2 linked regions of the Arabidopsis thaliana genome follow. The gene in region 1 interacts genetically with each later gene. Each region holds a gene or a part of one and is shown in the gene's direction. Other genes may lie near its edges. The genes, in order: ABI4 and UBP24.

What was found.
Region 2: changes in ABI4 (region 1) and UBP24 impair growth when combined (synthetic growth defect), as found in Arabidopsis thaliana (one study listed by BioGRID).

What each region holds. Positions count from the first base shown.
Region 1 is NC_003071.7:16,794,318-16,801,525, reverse strand, and holds ABI4 (Integrase-type DNA-binding superfamily protein), read left to right. Parts: upstream 1-3,940; coding exon 3,941-4,927; 3' UTR 4,928-5,279; downstream 5,280-7,208. Other genes in the region: AGL48 (AGAMOUS-like 48), read left to right, coding at 7,198-7,208.
Region 2 is NC_003075.7:15,033,315-15,042,552, reverse strand, and holds UBP24 (ubiquitin-specific protease 24), read left to right. Parts: upstream 1-3,135; 5' UTR 3,136-3,727; coding exon 3,728-3,742; intron 3,743-4,051; coding exon 4,052-4,741; intron 4,742-4,835; coding exon 4,836-5,020; intron 5,021-5,120; coding exon 5,121-5,374; intron 5,375-5,447; coding exon 5,448-5,593; intron 5,594-5,709; coding exon 5,710-5,886; intron 5,887-5,981; coding exon 5,982-6,170; 3' UTR 6,171-6,533; downstream 6,534-9,238. Other genes in the region: AT4G30900 (DNAse I-like superfamily protein), read right to left, coding at 350-621, 708-802, 990-1,204, 1,320-1,421, 1,508-1,590, 2,116-2,157, 2,391-2,532; AT4G30880 (Bifunctional inhibitor/lipid-transfer protein/seed storage 2S albumin superfamily protein), read right to left, coding at 6,803-6,819, 7,012-7,324. UniProt on the Arabidopsis thaliana protein: Recognizes and hydrolyzes the peptide bond at the C-terminal Gly of ubiquitin. Involved in the processing of poly-ubiquitin precursors as well as that of ubiquitinated proteins.

The sequences.
Region 1 (7,208 bases):
TAATCTTTTAAGATCATTTTATATGTTCCGACTTGAAGATAACCTAAAACATAGAAAAGAAAACGAATGTACAAAAATTCTGGCGAAATACGCAACCAAAGAGAGAAGTGTTTTGTAAGATTGCTTTATTTGATTCAAAACTCTGATTATAATGTAGTAACATTTTTACATAAATCAATAATATTTGAGATTTCGAGGTGTTATCGATGAAAAGCAAAACGCTAAGAATTATCATACATCGGAATAACTCATAACACATTTGAAGTACTTTAGTTATCTTGATTGTGAGATTCAAGATAGAAGTGGGGAAAAATGGTCTATTCCCGAAAAACGTTTGTTTCCCTGCGAAGCTACTTACACAATCTTAGAATCCGTATAATTGATTCATTAACAAACTAAATAAACATAGCCAACATCAAACAAACTAAGCAAAAAAACAAAGGCTTTGATCGGCAAAGATTCAGATGAAATTTACCCTTTACCTGTAAACAGATACAAATAAATGGTTTTGGTTAGGTTTGTTTAGTTTGTGTATAGTTGCAGAATTCGTTCGAAATATATAGCTAATTTGTTCAGGATTTAAACCTTACACTTAAAATGGACGGATTATAAAAAAGGAATGGACCAGAAAGCCCAATATGAATGCTTCTCCATCGTCTATACTATAGAGGCTTGGTGAGTGATTTGAGTTGAGGTTCTTGAAGCCTATAACGGCTTTATATGTTTTAGGACCTTACTGGTGTTTTTTCTTGGGCATTATTAGCCCAGAGCATTCATTTCACTGTGCGTTTTGGAAAATAGAAATGTTTTGAATCGTTAACAAGTTTTTGGACCTTACTGGTGTTTTTCCTTAGGCATTGGTTGAGAATTTCGTAAAGGTTTTTTGAGAATTCATTTTTTTTTTTATATAGACGCACACATAATCTTAGCTGTTGTTTAAAGTGCAGCCCACGGTTTGTAATCGTGGGCATGTGAATATTTTTATCATCTTGCTCGACAATATTCCTCTGCCGCAACAACCATTTGCTTTTTTTTATATGAAAATATTCAAACATGAACACTTTCTATCTTTCGAAACATATATTTGATCCGTTGCAGAACTTAGTGAGCAAAGCATTGAAATTCTTTGCCTTTTGATATAGTCATCATTTTAACTTAAGCATCTGGAAATCATTTGACTAAAAAAAAAGCCTTCAACAATGTCTCTTTAATGTTATCAAATGTTTGAGTCATTGTTATACAAAATTTCACGTGAATGATTGAGATTGGAATAATCAAGCTATATTGATTGATACTATATAATAAAGTGGATAAATGCAAGAAAATGAATGTATGGCGCAACTAGTTGGGTTCTGCTGAGACATAAAAAGGTGAGAGTTCCAAGGCAATTGGGTTGAGATCTCAGAAACCACAACACAAAAAGCTTTGGTTCTTTTGCTGTCTTTGCTTCTTTCCTCGCCACCTCATCTCTCCCATGCAATATTCCTATTTTTCTCTTCGTTTAATAATTGATAGTTTTGTAGTTGGCAAACAACAAAAGTAAATCCCTTGCAGACGAATCTTTAATTCTATATTAGTAGTATCAATGAAAAGTTTCTAAGTAAACTTGTTATTATGACGATAGTTCTAAGAGTTATGTTTTATAGATTAAAAGGAGTCATGTATATGCTACCATTCATAAGAACAATAGATAATTCAACAAATTCTTATTTTATTTATTTTTACTTTTAGTAAAAGAATATTAAGAAAATTTGTCTCTTAATTTCAATGGTATAAGATCTAAGAAGTCAAGTTTTTATTTCGAAAAAAGTCTAAACGTTAATGGTCTTCCATTTGTTATATTTGTGGGTCAAACATCATAATCTATACGGTAGATTAGTCTTTCTAGGCGACCAAAAAAATAAACTCTCTTCTCTTCTCTCTGTTTTCAAAATTCCTTTTCTTATAAAAAATGTCAGTTATATTTTGTTTTTAATATTTCTTAAAGTCGAAGCATACATAAATGATGACAAAAAAAGAAAGAAGAAGCGTACATAAATATCTACACTATAACTCCTCTTTTTAATATATTTATTTATTTATCCATTGACATGTGAGTATTTTAAATTTCTACATAATTCTTTTTTAAGATTAATAAAAGGTGTAGTATCCAAAATCTAAATCTATCGGACGAAGTATTTGACTGAAGCCAAGTCGTCTTCCAAGAATGGTGTTAAGTGGACTAAATGAACACATATATCTATGTAATGAAAGCAGAAAAATAATTACTGTGTCTCTCTGCATCTGTATTTCTGTCCCTCCAGTGGCTGCAGCAGGCAATGGATCTGCAACACTCTCCGAGTGCGCAAATCAACTTATTTTTCTTCTCCAAAATTTAACAAGTACTACTCCAGAAATATGATTCTAGTTTTTACTTATGTCCAAAAATATGATACGTGTTGTACCAGATGTTTTTCCTCCGATCCCTTAATTATATCTATGTTTACAATTTTATTTTACGTATAAAGATAAAACATCAAAAAAATAGTATCATAAGGTGATTTCCCAACAGCTTAAATTTTTCTCTAAGATCATAATCATCAAGTATAGAAGCTTCGGTTAAGTTCAACACTAAAAGTTAGATTAAAACCAAATTAGGGGCGAATATGGTTAGACCATCTCCAATGGTCACCTCTATAATTTTCTCTATTTTAGAGGTGCCTCTATTTTAGAAGCATTGTGCTCCAATGGTCACCTCTAAAATAGAGTTTCCTCAAAAATAGAAGAAAAATTAGAGATGAATTGTAGAGATCTCTATTTATAGAGACAAAAAGTAAATATTTCTATTTCTTCCTCTATTATAGAGAAAACTCTATTTTAGAGGTGACCATTTGAACATAATGCCTTTAAAATAGAGTCACCTCTATAAATAGAGGAAAATATAAAGATCACTATTAAAAATGCATTTAGATCTTTTACTAGGGTTGTTGGTAATGGTAGATTAATTACCTTGATCCTTTTTAGTATACTTATCTGTTAATGCTTGTTAACCACTTAAATTGCAAGAGAGTTGAACAAAATTGGGTAATTCATGCCACGCTTTGTAATTATTCATTGATTAGTGTTTCATTCTCTACAATTTATGGCTAATCAGCCCCCGTTAGCCGTTATGTAATGATTTATTCTAGTTTCATTGCTTGCCAACTTTAAACGATGCTTTTAATTCTTGAACTCATAAATCATTTTCTTTGTTATCTTTGTCTACTGTTTTATTCACTTGATCTTCTTAATCTTTTAAATTGCCTATCTTTTGCTATGTTTTTGTTACAATTTAAATTGACAAGTACTTAGAAAAACAAACAAAAATGATATCTCTGTTCCATCTTAGATTATTCGTTTCTTATTTCTCTTAATATATATTTTTGAACACGCTTATTTCTCTTATATATGTTGCAATATTCCTAACCTTGGTGAATTTGATTCAGTTCTCTCTGGTTGAATCCTCTGAAATCTGAATGCCTTGGAGTGTTTTCAACATGCGAGTATTTCTCACAATTACCCATCCAATCAAAGAAAAGAACCAACTTCAAGATATTGTTATATATCGCTCATGATTTGCTATAGTTACCCAAAAGAAAGAAAGCAATTAAATGTTTTTATAATATCCTTGATTACATTCCAATGTGTAACAAGTAACTTATGACAACACAAATTTCTTCTTTGGTAGAAAACAAACGGGTAAGTAAAAAGAAAAGAAAAAAAGAAGTGAGTGAGAAGAGAGTGTAAGTATAAATAAAAGAAGCACCGCCCTAATCGACCATTCACAACGATGACATTCAAACACTCTTCAGTTTCCCTTCCTTCTTGATTCGTCCTCTCCACTATTTTTCTCAATTTCTTTAATCTCTCTCTTTCTCTCTCTACTTCCTCTTCCTCTTCTTCTTCTTCTTCTTCTTCATCTATGGACCCTTTAGCTTCCCAACATCAACACAACCATCTGGAAGATAATAACCAAACCCTAACCCATAATAATCCTCAATCCGATTCCACCACCGACTCATCAACTTCCTCCGCTCAACGCAAACGCAAAGGCAAAGGTGGTCCGGACAACTCCAAGTTCCGTTACCGTGGCGTTCGACAAAGAAGCTGGGGCAAATGGGTCGCCGAGATCCGAGAGCCACGTAAGCGCACTCGCAAGTGGCTTGGTACTTTCGCAACCGCCGAAGACGCCGCACGTGCCTACGACCGGGCTGCCGTTTACCTATACGGGTCACGTGCTCAGCTCAACTTAACCCCTTCGTCTCCTTCCTCCGTCTCTTCCTCTTCCTCCTCCGTCTCCGCCGCTTCTTCTCCTTCCACCTCCTCTTCCTCCACTCAAACCCTAAGACCTCTCCTCCCTCGCCCCGCCGCCGCCACCGTAGGAGGAGGAGCCAACTTTGGTCCGTACGGTATCCCTTTTAACAACAACATCTTCCTTAATGGTGGGACCTCTATGTTATGCCCTAGTTATGGTTTTTTCCCTCAACAACAACAACAACAAAATCAGATGGTCCAGATGGGACAATTCCAACACCAACAGTATCAGAATCTTCATTCTAATACTAACAATAACAAGATTTCTGACATCGAGCTCACTGATGTTCCGGTAACTAATTCGACTTCGTTTCATCATGAGGTGGCGTTAGGGCAGGAACAAGGAGGAAGTGGGTGTAATAATAATAGTTCGATGGAGGATTTGAACTCTCTAGCTGGTTCGGTGGGTTCGAGTCTATCAATAACTCATCCACCGCCGTTGGTTGATCCGGTATGTTCTATGGGTCTGGATCCGGGTTATATGGTTGGAGATGGATCTTCGACCATTTGGCCTTTTGGAGGAGAAGAAGAATATAGTCATAATTGGGGGAGTATTTGGGATTTTATTGATCCCATCTTGGGGGAATTCTATTAATTTGTTTTTGTGGAAGATCATATTATATACGATGAGCATCCCTAAGGTCGGTCAAGAGCATTGGAGATTCATTGTTGAGAGGAATCAAAGAGATTGCATTCTATGAGGAGCTCTGCATGCAAAATTTTGGAGGATTTTTTTACTACCTATAGAGATAAATAAGAGGGTATTTTTATTATTTTTTTGAAGATTTTTATTTTCAAGGAATTCGTAAAAGAGATTACGGTTCCAATAAAGTATGTATATGTGGAAGAGAATCGGAGGAGATGGTGGAAAGTTGTATGGGAATTTTATTGGTTCAACACTTCCTTCACAGTGTGCCTACCTTAATATATAATTATTGATAGGATATGATAATTTCTGTTTGGTTGTTCGAGTTTCAGAGGTTATATATAGTTATATTTTGTTTATCTCTGAGAATATTTACACATATCTCTATTAAGTTTTAGTAATATAGGAATCATCAATGTAGAAACTATGGAGAGAAACACGTTTTCAAAAAGTGTTCATCACTGGATGCATAATTGTTGTCGTTGAGAAGATTATTTACATTATTCGAGCTGGGTATTCTCACACCAACACTTCATATTCAAGTTTACAATTTTTTGTATCGATCATCCTTCAAAGTGTTTGGACATGATTTTGTCCGAATCCTAGCTTTCTTTGACTAAAAAGAGTTCTCCGTTTCTGTATTTCCCTTGTCCTGTGATTTCTTGTTTACTATGGTGTTTATTGGAAGTTGACAAGAAAAAATCAATTTTATTTTTTGTTTATGATTATATTTCGAATCTTTTAACAGTATTATACAAAATTTAAATTAAAAATAATCCCATATCTGACTGGGTTATACATGAATATTTCAATATTAATAATTAATTTAATTTATAATAATTATATATACAAAACACAACAAAATAGATTATTATATTTTCATTTGTTATATGAAATCACAACACTTTTCTATATCTTGGTTACGTAATAATTTAAGTGCACAAATATGGGTATGGTGATTCATATACTAGATAGAGATTGACATAAACTTTTCTAGAACCGATTATTTTGGTAATCAAATCATACAATGTTGTTTATGAAAGATCACCAGACAATGTGGAATAAAGCTTAGTTTTATTGTTTTCCTCTATATCTTGGTATTATTGAAATCTGGCAAAGTAGTACCAAACCGAATCCAAAAAAAACAAAATCGAGAAACAAAGAGAGTTACTACGTACACAAAAGAAAACATTCAACCACAACAACACAACGATGAGAGAAAAAAGATCGCTAAACAAAGAAAAAGAAAAAGATACAAGATGTCCATTAGAGTTTTAAGAATATATTATTCTCTTATATTTTTCCCTTAAAAGTATTGTTGTTTCAGTTTTTTGTATAAAACAATTATAAACAATTCTCAGTTTAGAGTCTCAATGTAATAACAAGAAAACATCTGAAGTAAAAAAAACAATTTATAAATAAAGAATTCAAGAGTCAACTTTTATGTATACATATGGTAATACATATATATATATATTTAATTCATACTATGTAAATATGAAAATGATACTTACACTGAAGAAAATGTATAGTCAACATTTAGTTTCCAAAATAATTATCTAACACTATGAATTAATATGATTCACAACAATGAAAATAATGTTAGTCAATATAATCATTAGCATTAAATAATGACAGAACAATTAATTAAATCATCAATTTGGTATATTGACTAGGACCTAAATTTGGACAGAAATTCAGTTATTTCAATTTTCTGTAATAGTACAATTAACCACATAAAGATTTTAACATGTTAATGGTTTGATTTGGATTTTAGTTTTTGTTTACTAGTATTGTTTTTAAAGAATAATCAATGTAAAACCAAATCCAATATAGTTTGGTAAATTTTTAATTAGCTTTGAATTCAGTTCTTAAACTTTTACTTTTTTAGCAAAATAAGTTTCATTTTTAGTCAATTTTCTATGGTATTTATGATATTTGAAAATAACTTTATAACCAAAACATAGGAAAATTCTAGTTTTTGAGTTGATATTTTCAACTTGGTTTAGATCTAAAAGGTTTGGTTTAACTAAAACATTACCATAGACATTCAATATTTTTTAGTAAGTAGCAATTAATTTTACATCTTTTGACTAGTATCATTTTCCAAAATCTCATCTTTTCAACACTATTTAAACGGATTCCCGCGCTAATCTTCATTCATATGCTCAACAACATTTAAAATTTTAAAAGAGAGAAATAAAAATCGAAGAGTGATCATGACAAGAAA
Region 2 (9,238 bases), on another chromosome or scaffold:
AAGGGTTTTTATTTGCTTGTGTGAACTGTGAAGTGTGACGCTTGAATATGACGAGTTACCCATTTGAAAGTATTTGACTATTTGTAGATATTCTTGTGTTCCGTAACATCACTTACCTAATAACACAAACTATTAGGAGCACAAGATGAAGGATACAAGTCGTCAATCTTATGTTTCAGTGGTCATCAATAATAACACAAACTATTAGGAGCAAACAAAACAATTTATTTAAATCTCTTTTGAATATGTTTTAGCTCAAATCAATAAATAAAGGCGCCGAGAAAAAAACAGAGCTCATTTGCACAACAATCAGTATAGTCCAAAGCTTAAGCAAGTGAGGACATGTGTTCTAGCTTTCCTCTTGAGCAGGAGCAGAAACAGGAGGAGTAGGTTCAAGCATTCTTACAGAACGAGGAAGCATAAACTCAGCAAACACAGGGTAGTGAGATGAAGGATACAAGTCGTCAATCTTATCATTTACGATCTCGCACATTACAGGAACTATAGATCTACCTCTGTAAAGTATCCAATCCGTGTGTAGATCTTGCGTCTGTCGGTCCCAGCAGAGGCATAACGCTCTGAATATCAGCTTCAGGAACTCGACCGTTCCCTGCTTGTCACCTGAACAAAGGCCCAACATGTTATGATCTAGAAGCTTTGGAGATAAATGATTTTTATAGCTCATGAGAGGGTGGAATGTTTCACACCTTTGAAATCATGGTATGTTCTTATGAGAGCGACGTTTTTTCTTACTCGGGCACTTGGCCATGCGTCTCTCATATCTCCTACCACACCATGCTCTCTGCAAGTTGAATGATGCCCAAAAGCCATTCATCAGCAGTCAAATAAGTAAATATGCTTTGATTTGAAACTAGTTGATCAGTGTGTGAAGAATGGTTTAGCCATTCTTGCATTAACTAGGAGCCCTGAAAGAAAACTCTAGGAGATTGGTAAAAAGCACAAAACTTGTGAATGTGATATTAAGGTACCTAGATCTGCCCAACAGAAACCGCCCTGTTGTTGATTCCTTCTGTGTGTTGAATCCTCCACAGTACACAACCGGCAAAGTGGGAGGTAATGATGCTATGTGTTGCCATGTGAGTAAAGCACTTCGCCTACGGGCACGAGGGCTGATTTCATCCAAGTTTGTGTTGACTATCTGAAACGAAAAACCAGGCGGCTCCGCTCCTTTAAGTTGGAATGTGTAGGCAGCTTGTCAAAGAAAACCAAAATACTGATATATAGGACAAAAACACCAAAATCATAAACTAATCTAATTATAGTTTAACTAAAATGAACCCAACTAGTAAAAAGGATATAGCCCATGTCGCTATACAAGGAACTGCGGAACCCCATGCCGTGCTTCCAGGGACCGAGGGAGACTCTGACAACCAAAAAGTTCCACCCTCTAGCAGCTCTACCTTCAATTAGTATAAAGTATAGTATCAAGCAGCGTATTAATTATTTAGAGCGTAGTTATGTATTGTCTTATCAACCGAATTAATACTTTTTCCTTGTTGAAGAAGATGGTGCAGTGTTCATCATTAGCATCCCCAGGTCCTGTTCTTGATATGCCAAATTGATCATAGGCTGCAAGCAAAGAGTACTACCATCTATTTAAGTTCAAAGAAACAATGCAAACTGAAGTATTATTAAGGCATGTGAAACTAGAAGCTAAGCTCCATGGTTCACAGTAACAAAAACCAGATAAACAATACCACCATCATTTCAAAGAAAGCACCTGTAAATGTGAGAATATCATGCATTCCATTGCCATAAAACAGATGCATTAAGTGCACTAGACTCCGGCTTTTGTAGCCTAAAAACACTAACTTGAACTTGATGCAAAAAAGGATACGGATTGACAAATTGGCTATCAGATTTAAGCAATACCAACATATACTAAAAATAGAATTAAATCTAGTAGATCACAAATAGATTTACATAGTAGATTGAGAACAAGAAGAGTGGTCTACGATTGATAACAAGATTCACACTAGTCTGTGAACTTAAGAAGAAGCAGACTGCTGTATACAAACAGGGTTCAATTAGACCTAACTCACACCATTTAAGTAGAGATTAGACTTCCATAAATCAAAGAGAATTCAATTATACCTGGCAACCCCTGCTGAAGATAATCCAACTGCGACTTCACACCTAACCAATGTAAACATGATAACAAAAGATCAAAACGAAAATCCTATCTCTGTTCAATATTTCAGAAGGCAAGAAAAAGCACAAGAATCAATCTCCAGCATTCAGGAAAAAGAAGCCTTCTTGGAGAACCAATATAAAGAAGGAAGCAAGATCTAACAAGCATTGAATCACCAATACGAAGAAGGAATCAAAGATCTAACAAGCATTGATCCATTGTGGCTAAAGATTATTACCTTGTTGGGTACAGAGAACAATGGGGGAGTAACTAGTGATGACAGTGAGACACAAATCTTTCCTTTTGAGCCATGAATTAGGGCTTTCTTCAGGTAGATCATCGTGAAGATTGAATGACATCACACTCAAAGACACACTCATTGTTTTGTCTCCTTTCTTCTTCTTCTTCTTCCTCTAGTTTTCTCTCTTCTTTCTTTATGGTTTGGTAAGACGAATAAAAACAAAGGTCTCTCTCACATCAGCAGCAGCTCATCGTCGTCGTGACCTACATGATTTTCAATAATAAGTCAAAAGCTTATCAATTTTTATGTGAAAAAACAGCTCAGGATTCGAAGAAAGAAAATCAATCAACATAATTTATTATATTATATTATTGAGGAATCCAATACGAACCTTGTTGTTTCAGACTCTTATCAACAACAACAGTGGAGAAAATGAGTCTTGGACATTTGACGACTTTTGCTGGAAAATCTGTGAAAGTCATGCCCTTTGATCACCAAAAGTCTCTTAAAGCCATTTCCTGATACATGTATAAATCAGCAACTTCAGAAACAAATCAAATCGGAAACGGGGGAAGAAGAAGAAGAAGAGTAACTAATCGGAGGAGGGACCGGTGAAGTCACGGTGGAGGGACCGGTGGAGTCACGGTGGACTAATCGTCGGCTTTTTGGTCTCTCTCTAGATTTTTTTAAGGTTTAAAATTAATTTCAGACAAGCTTCGAACCCGAGACATGGAACCCCTACAGACACGTGAGTTTTTAATAACCGTTCAGACCAAACAGGAGTAACAACAACTGTTTGAGATAGTTTTGTTGAATAACCGAATTAAACCAAAGTGAATACAAAACCGAACCGAGATTTATATTTGTAAAGATACGACGACGCCTTTGACGAAAAAGGAGACGAAGAAGATCCAAACACGGCGCTAAGCTAAGCTCCGTTCTCCTCCTCAAAACTATCCGACAAAAGACAGAAGCAGAAACCTAACCCTAATTTCCTTTTCTCAAAATCCCCGAAAGGTCCGTCTCTCTCTCTATCTATCTCTCTAACTTAGCTCTCCTCCAAATTCGGATGATTACCCATTACGAATTTGCAGAGAAGAACAAATCCTCTCTTTCTTCTTCCTCCGTCTCTCTACCCCTTTCATGTCTTCTCAAGTCTACGACTCTCATCCAGGGTTGTTGGTGCATCAAACCCTAGTTTTTGATTTCGCTTTTGAGATTTCTCATGCTTCTTTCGTTTCGGATCTCTCTCTGAATCAGATTACGTCTTTTGGGCTCTTGTTGTTGTTGTGCTGCTCTTCAATCTCTTCTCCGTTGCGTTCTATGTGCCAAATATGAGTGAAAAGAAGGTAATTTCCTACTACTTGTTGTTTGCCTCTTGAGTTTCTTCACTTATTTTGTTTCCCTTAAGGTTTAGTTCTCATGGTCTAGAGAACGATGCAGAGGTCACCCAATTGCAATAGAGACTAGTTTTAGGTGGTTTAGTTTCATGGAGATAGTATCTTTTTATAGCTTCGTTTTGATCATTTTGTAGTTTTTCTCTGAGGTCAATGTATATCCGAGAGACTTAACTTTCATTATCATTTGGTTTCTTAATTGTTCTGTAAATGATTCTCCTTTGAAACTTACATTTGCTATTCTACTTTTATTCATGGCAGGTATTTGTGTTTGGATCCTTTACAGAACATGAAACTAGGTCATTTTTTGAGCAGAAACCCACTAAGGATCCTCAGAATTCTAAAGACAAGTGTGTGGGAAGTATTCAATTTGGCTCCTTGAATCTTGCTGCGGAAAATTCTTCAGTAAATACTAATGGCGAGTTGAAGAAAGGTGAGGCTGATGGGACAGTTAAATCTGCTGGGTCTCAAGAGAGACTTGATGCTTCTAGACCTGCCAGCTCGGATAAGAACAATGATAGTGATGCAAAACTCCCAAGAAAGAACTCTTTGAGAGTTCCAGAGCATGTGGTACAAAATGGAATCATAAAAGAGATCTCTGAAAGCAACAAATCTCTCAACAATGGTGTGGCGGTGAAAACAGATCCTATTGGTTTGGATAACTTGTCTATGTCTGATGGTGAAAGTGATCCTGTGTATAAAGCTTCGAGCTCTAAATTTCAAGCGCTGGACAATGAAGATTTCTCAAGTGACTCTTCGTCTGGAAGCATTCAAAGAAAGAAAAACCTGAAGGTTCCTACTGAATCTGTTCCACCTGTTAAAGACTTTACACCAAGAGGATTAATAAACGCTGGAAACTTGTGCTTCCTGAATGCAACACTACAAGCGTTGCTTTCATGTTCTCCTTTTGTGCAGCTCCTCCAGAAAATTCAACTCCAAGATATTCCAAAGGTTTTTAACGTACATTGTTCCTTTTGTGATTTTGGTTCTATTTCCTATAATATTTGTTTTCTTATCGATATTCTTCCATTTTCTTTTTTATCAGGCTGACTCTCCAACCTTAGCTGCATTTTCCGAGTTCATCTCCGAATTGGATGTGCCAAGCAGTTCCAGCATCAGAAATAACGTTACTGTTGTTGAGGCTGGTAGACCTTTTAGACCTGCCATGTTCGAAGGAGTCCTTAGAAATTTTACCCCAGATGTACTCAACAACATGTCTGGTAGGCCAAGGTTAGTGACTCCCTTACACAGTCTAAATTTTGATGGTTCCTCTGTTTTAAATAGTTCATATGTATGTCCCTATTCTAACTTTGTGTGCATGTACTGGCAGGCAGGAAGATGCTCAAGAGTTTTTGAGTTTTATAATGGACCAAATGCATGATGAGTTGTTGAAACTCAAGGAACAGTCCCCCAAAGTCACCGCTTCTAAGTCATCGGTTATTTCTTCTGCCAACGATGATGGTGATGAATGGGAAACAGTTGGACCCAAAAACAAATCAGCTGTGACAAGAACACAAAGTTTTGTTCCGTCTGAGCTTAGTGAGATATTTGGCGGGCAGCTTAAAAGCGTAGTGAAGGCAAAAGGTATTTGTATTTTTTGTAATCATTCTAAATTTCTTTCATGATAGAATTTTCTCATATGTCATTTATGGTACAGGAACTAAAGCTTCGGCTACTGTACAGCCGTATCTCTTGCTACACCTTGATATTCATCCGGACGGTGTGCAAGGAATAGAAGACGCGTTGCATTTGTTTTCTGCCCAAGAAGATCTTGAAGGATATAGAGCCTCGGTTACTGGGAAGGTAAACTATTTCTCTTTTTACTATATTGAAGCTGTGGGATTTTAGGACCCAAAATATTTCTTATGGATTTCAAATAATAATTTGCCTCGTTACTTGTTTGGATTCTCTCATTTCAGACTGGTGTAGTGAGTGCTAGTAAGTCGATAAAGATACAGAAACTCTCAAAGATAATGATACTGCACCTAATGCGTTTTAGCTACGGAAGCCAAGGGAGTACTAAGCTGCGTAAAGGCGTTAAATTTCCCCTTGAACTCAACTTAAACCGCAGCCATCTTGTTTCTCTATCCAATGAGGTATAAAGCCGAAGCAGAACTGTCTATGTTTCACATTTCTCTTACTCTCTATGTGATATCCCTCTGTTGTGAACTAGTCAAATTTCTTCTTGTAGAGTTTGAGATATGAACTTGTGGCAACAATTACCCACCACGGATGGGATCCCTCAAAAGGACACTACACCACAGATGCTCGACGAAAGAATGGTCAATGGCTAAGGTTTGATGATGCCTCTGTGACCCCCATAGGGACAAAACTGGTGTTGCACGATCAAGCCTATGTCCTCTTCTACAAGCAAGTGTAAGAGATTCAAAGGCAGCAGATTTCCATGGTCGGAGAAAGAAGAGTAAACTCTTTATCGGCTTGTGTCCGGTCTTCTGAGTTTAAGTCACGATGCTATAATCTGGTTCTCATCTTATATAACTTTGAAGGAGGGGGTCTCAGTAGGTAAATAGTTTTAGAGTACCTGGTTTACACTGGAAGTTTTGTTATGATTCCTTGAGATGGGTGTTTTAATCTGATTTTACTACTTCATAGACTTATTATTCGAAAATTCATGTCTTATGCTACATGTCTTCTTATCATTGGCCTAATCTTCCTTTTCATGGTTCAATCAATCAAGTAGAAGGCGATGAAATGACAAACTGGTTTAAAGATTCGGTTTTTATTCTAGATCATGGAATTTAGAGATTCAATAAGTACTCTGGATCCTTGGTTAGTGATCCAGTTAATTATTCTAGATCATAGTTTAGAGAGCCGGTTAATTAATCTAAATCATGGTTTAGAAATCTGGTTGTTTACTCAAAATCATGGTTTAGTGATAAAGTTTTCCTCTTTCGAATCTTAAACAAGGAAAATAAATTTATTTCATTCAACATATTAGAGATTACAAGAGTACATTTCAAACCCTTAGCTCTCAAGTTCTGGTCCCAAATCTCATGGCACAACGTAACCTGCCACATTAGGAACATCAAAACATTACGATCATCATGTTAATACAAAAAAATGTATCAAAGATTTACAAGTTTTGTAATATTTTTTTTGCAAAATACAAACAATCACAACATAGCTCTAGCGAGACCTTCAATTTTTACAAGATTAAAATCATAAAAGAAGAAAACTTCTTAATATATATATAGACTTACTTCCACACTTGGTACCATGAGCGAGAGGCTTCCCACAAAAGGCAGTGACATGAACAACCTTATCCATGTCTATCATTTGTTGCACCGAAGCTGTGATACGGCCACATGCGCAAGGGATGTCTGATCTCTTAACCACTCTGCAGCACGCTTCGGACGGGTTTACCTTTGGGCCTGGACGCTGCACGTAGACGGCGCATTCTTTCATCAGACCTTCGATGTCTCCTTGGCACGTTCCTTGCCCTGGAACTGGTAGTGTTCCTGAGATCACAAGGATCATTGTTAGACCAATCAAAGCACGAGAACCGATCACCATTTTAGTTTGAATCTAGTGAGAGTATCTTTGAGTTTTTGGTTGAAGAGAAGTTGTTTAGGGGTCTTATATAGTGGCTTTGGAGGTTTTAAGGGTTTGTGTTGCATGCGAGGTTATCTTCTTCTTTTTTTTCTTTCTTTTATGATGAGACTTAATTAGTTTGATTTTTCCAATTGGTTTCATGTGACAAAAGACTTGAATTTTTCTAAGAGATTCTGAAGATGTTTCCTCGTAACTACAACTACATGGCAGCCAATGCATGAAACTTATATGTTATGAAATTAATGTACTATTGATAGATAAGTAAACGACAAACAAATCCAAAGATGAACCAAAGGGACAAGCTATTTTAATTATCAAAACATATCAATTTTCTTCAAAAGTATTTATTGTACCAAGTGAATGATATGTTTCTTACTTTGGATTCTCCCTGTTATTCAAGAAAATACATTCCTTTAAATTTAGTAAAACAAATCTACAACTTTTAATTTAACTGAAGAAAGAAAATAAAGAGAGGCGCTTCGAATCTTTATCATTGCTATTAACTTCATCAAAACTGTATATAAAGATCTCGCACTCTCATGACAGAACAAATTATTTGATATAACCAAACAGAACAAAACAAATTCTATAAATACTACAATAATCATAATACAAAATCGCTATTACTTGCTTTGTAATCGCATAAAAAATCTTGGAGAATACAAAATCGCGTTTCTTACTTGCTTTGTAATCGCGCTCAGCATTTGCGTCGAGCTTTACGGTTTTGACGTCGTGAGGGTTCTCCGTTCCACCGCAGATTCACCGGAAAATCGAACCGTCGAATTGGTTCCCAAGAAAATCTCTTTCCATGAGTCCCTTTACGTGTCAATCTCCGAAGATAAAGTCAATGAATGGCCTCTGCAAGACTATTTCTATCGAGATACTTGCCCTAACGCGAAGGTAACCGTTGGTAAAGCAATCCGAGAAATCTACAAGGCCAAACTAAGTATCGCGCCGTCTCTCATCCGGCTCCTCTTTCACGATTGTTTCATCGATGTCAGATTTTTCTTACTTTCTCTTGATGCATTGAGTTTTCTTTGGAAATTGGCTTAGTCAATCGATTCATGTATGTTAAATCTGACTCAAATTAGCATTTCTTGGAAGTTACTGTAGTAGAATCTTAATTTCTAGGTCTTAGCCACTGATATGCAGAAATAAGGGGTTTGATTCTTTGTTATTAGAGTCAAATTCAGCTCTTGTTGGAGTTGTGTTCTATTATTACCCAAAAAAGCCGCCAAAGCAATTTCCAAATGTGAACAGAACAAACATGAGAGTACAAAAAAAAGAATTAGTGGCAAGGCGTAAACTGAGTCCTAAAAAAGAGAAGAGTTGGAGGTAAGGCGTAAACTAAAAAGGACAAAAATTGGAGGCAAAGTGTTGCAAGGATGGACCTGTACCCATAGAAGATCACTCCTAGTGTCCATGTGGAGAAGCTATATGATTGGTGGGCTGCCTATTGATATGTTTACCAAGAAAATTGTTGGTATGTTAGGGGAAAGTTATGCAATGATACATTGATACCTCTAGTCGCCTTGCAAGTAGTCTAGACGGGCGATAGAGGCTTCGTCTATATGGGAGATATATACTTGGATCCAAATCTGTTCCCTAAAAAAACAAGAAACAATAGAGACTATCTTGAGATCATTGTGTTTTGGCTTTAACTCATCATCATTCATCATACGAATTCCATGATGGGACTATTGACGTGTGGAACAAGTAACGGCTGAGAGAAGTTGATTATTTCCTTTTTTTTTTATTGATCGATAAGTTTAAAAAGATATATACAAATACAAATACAAATAGGAAAAACCTTATCACCGATTCTCCTCCTCTATATATAAAGACCTAATAAGCACAAACTCTTTCTTCACAATC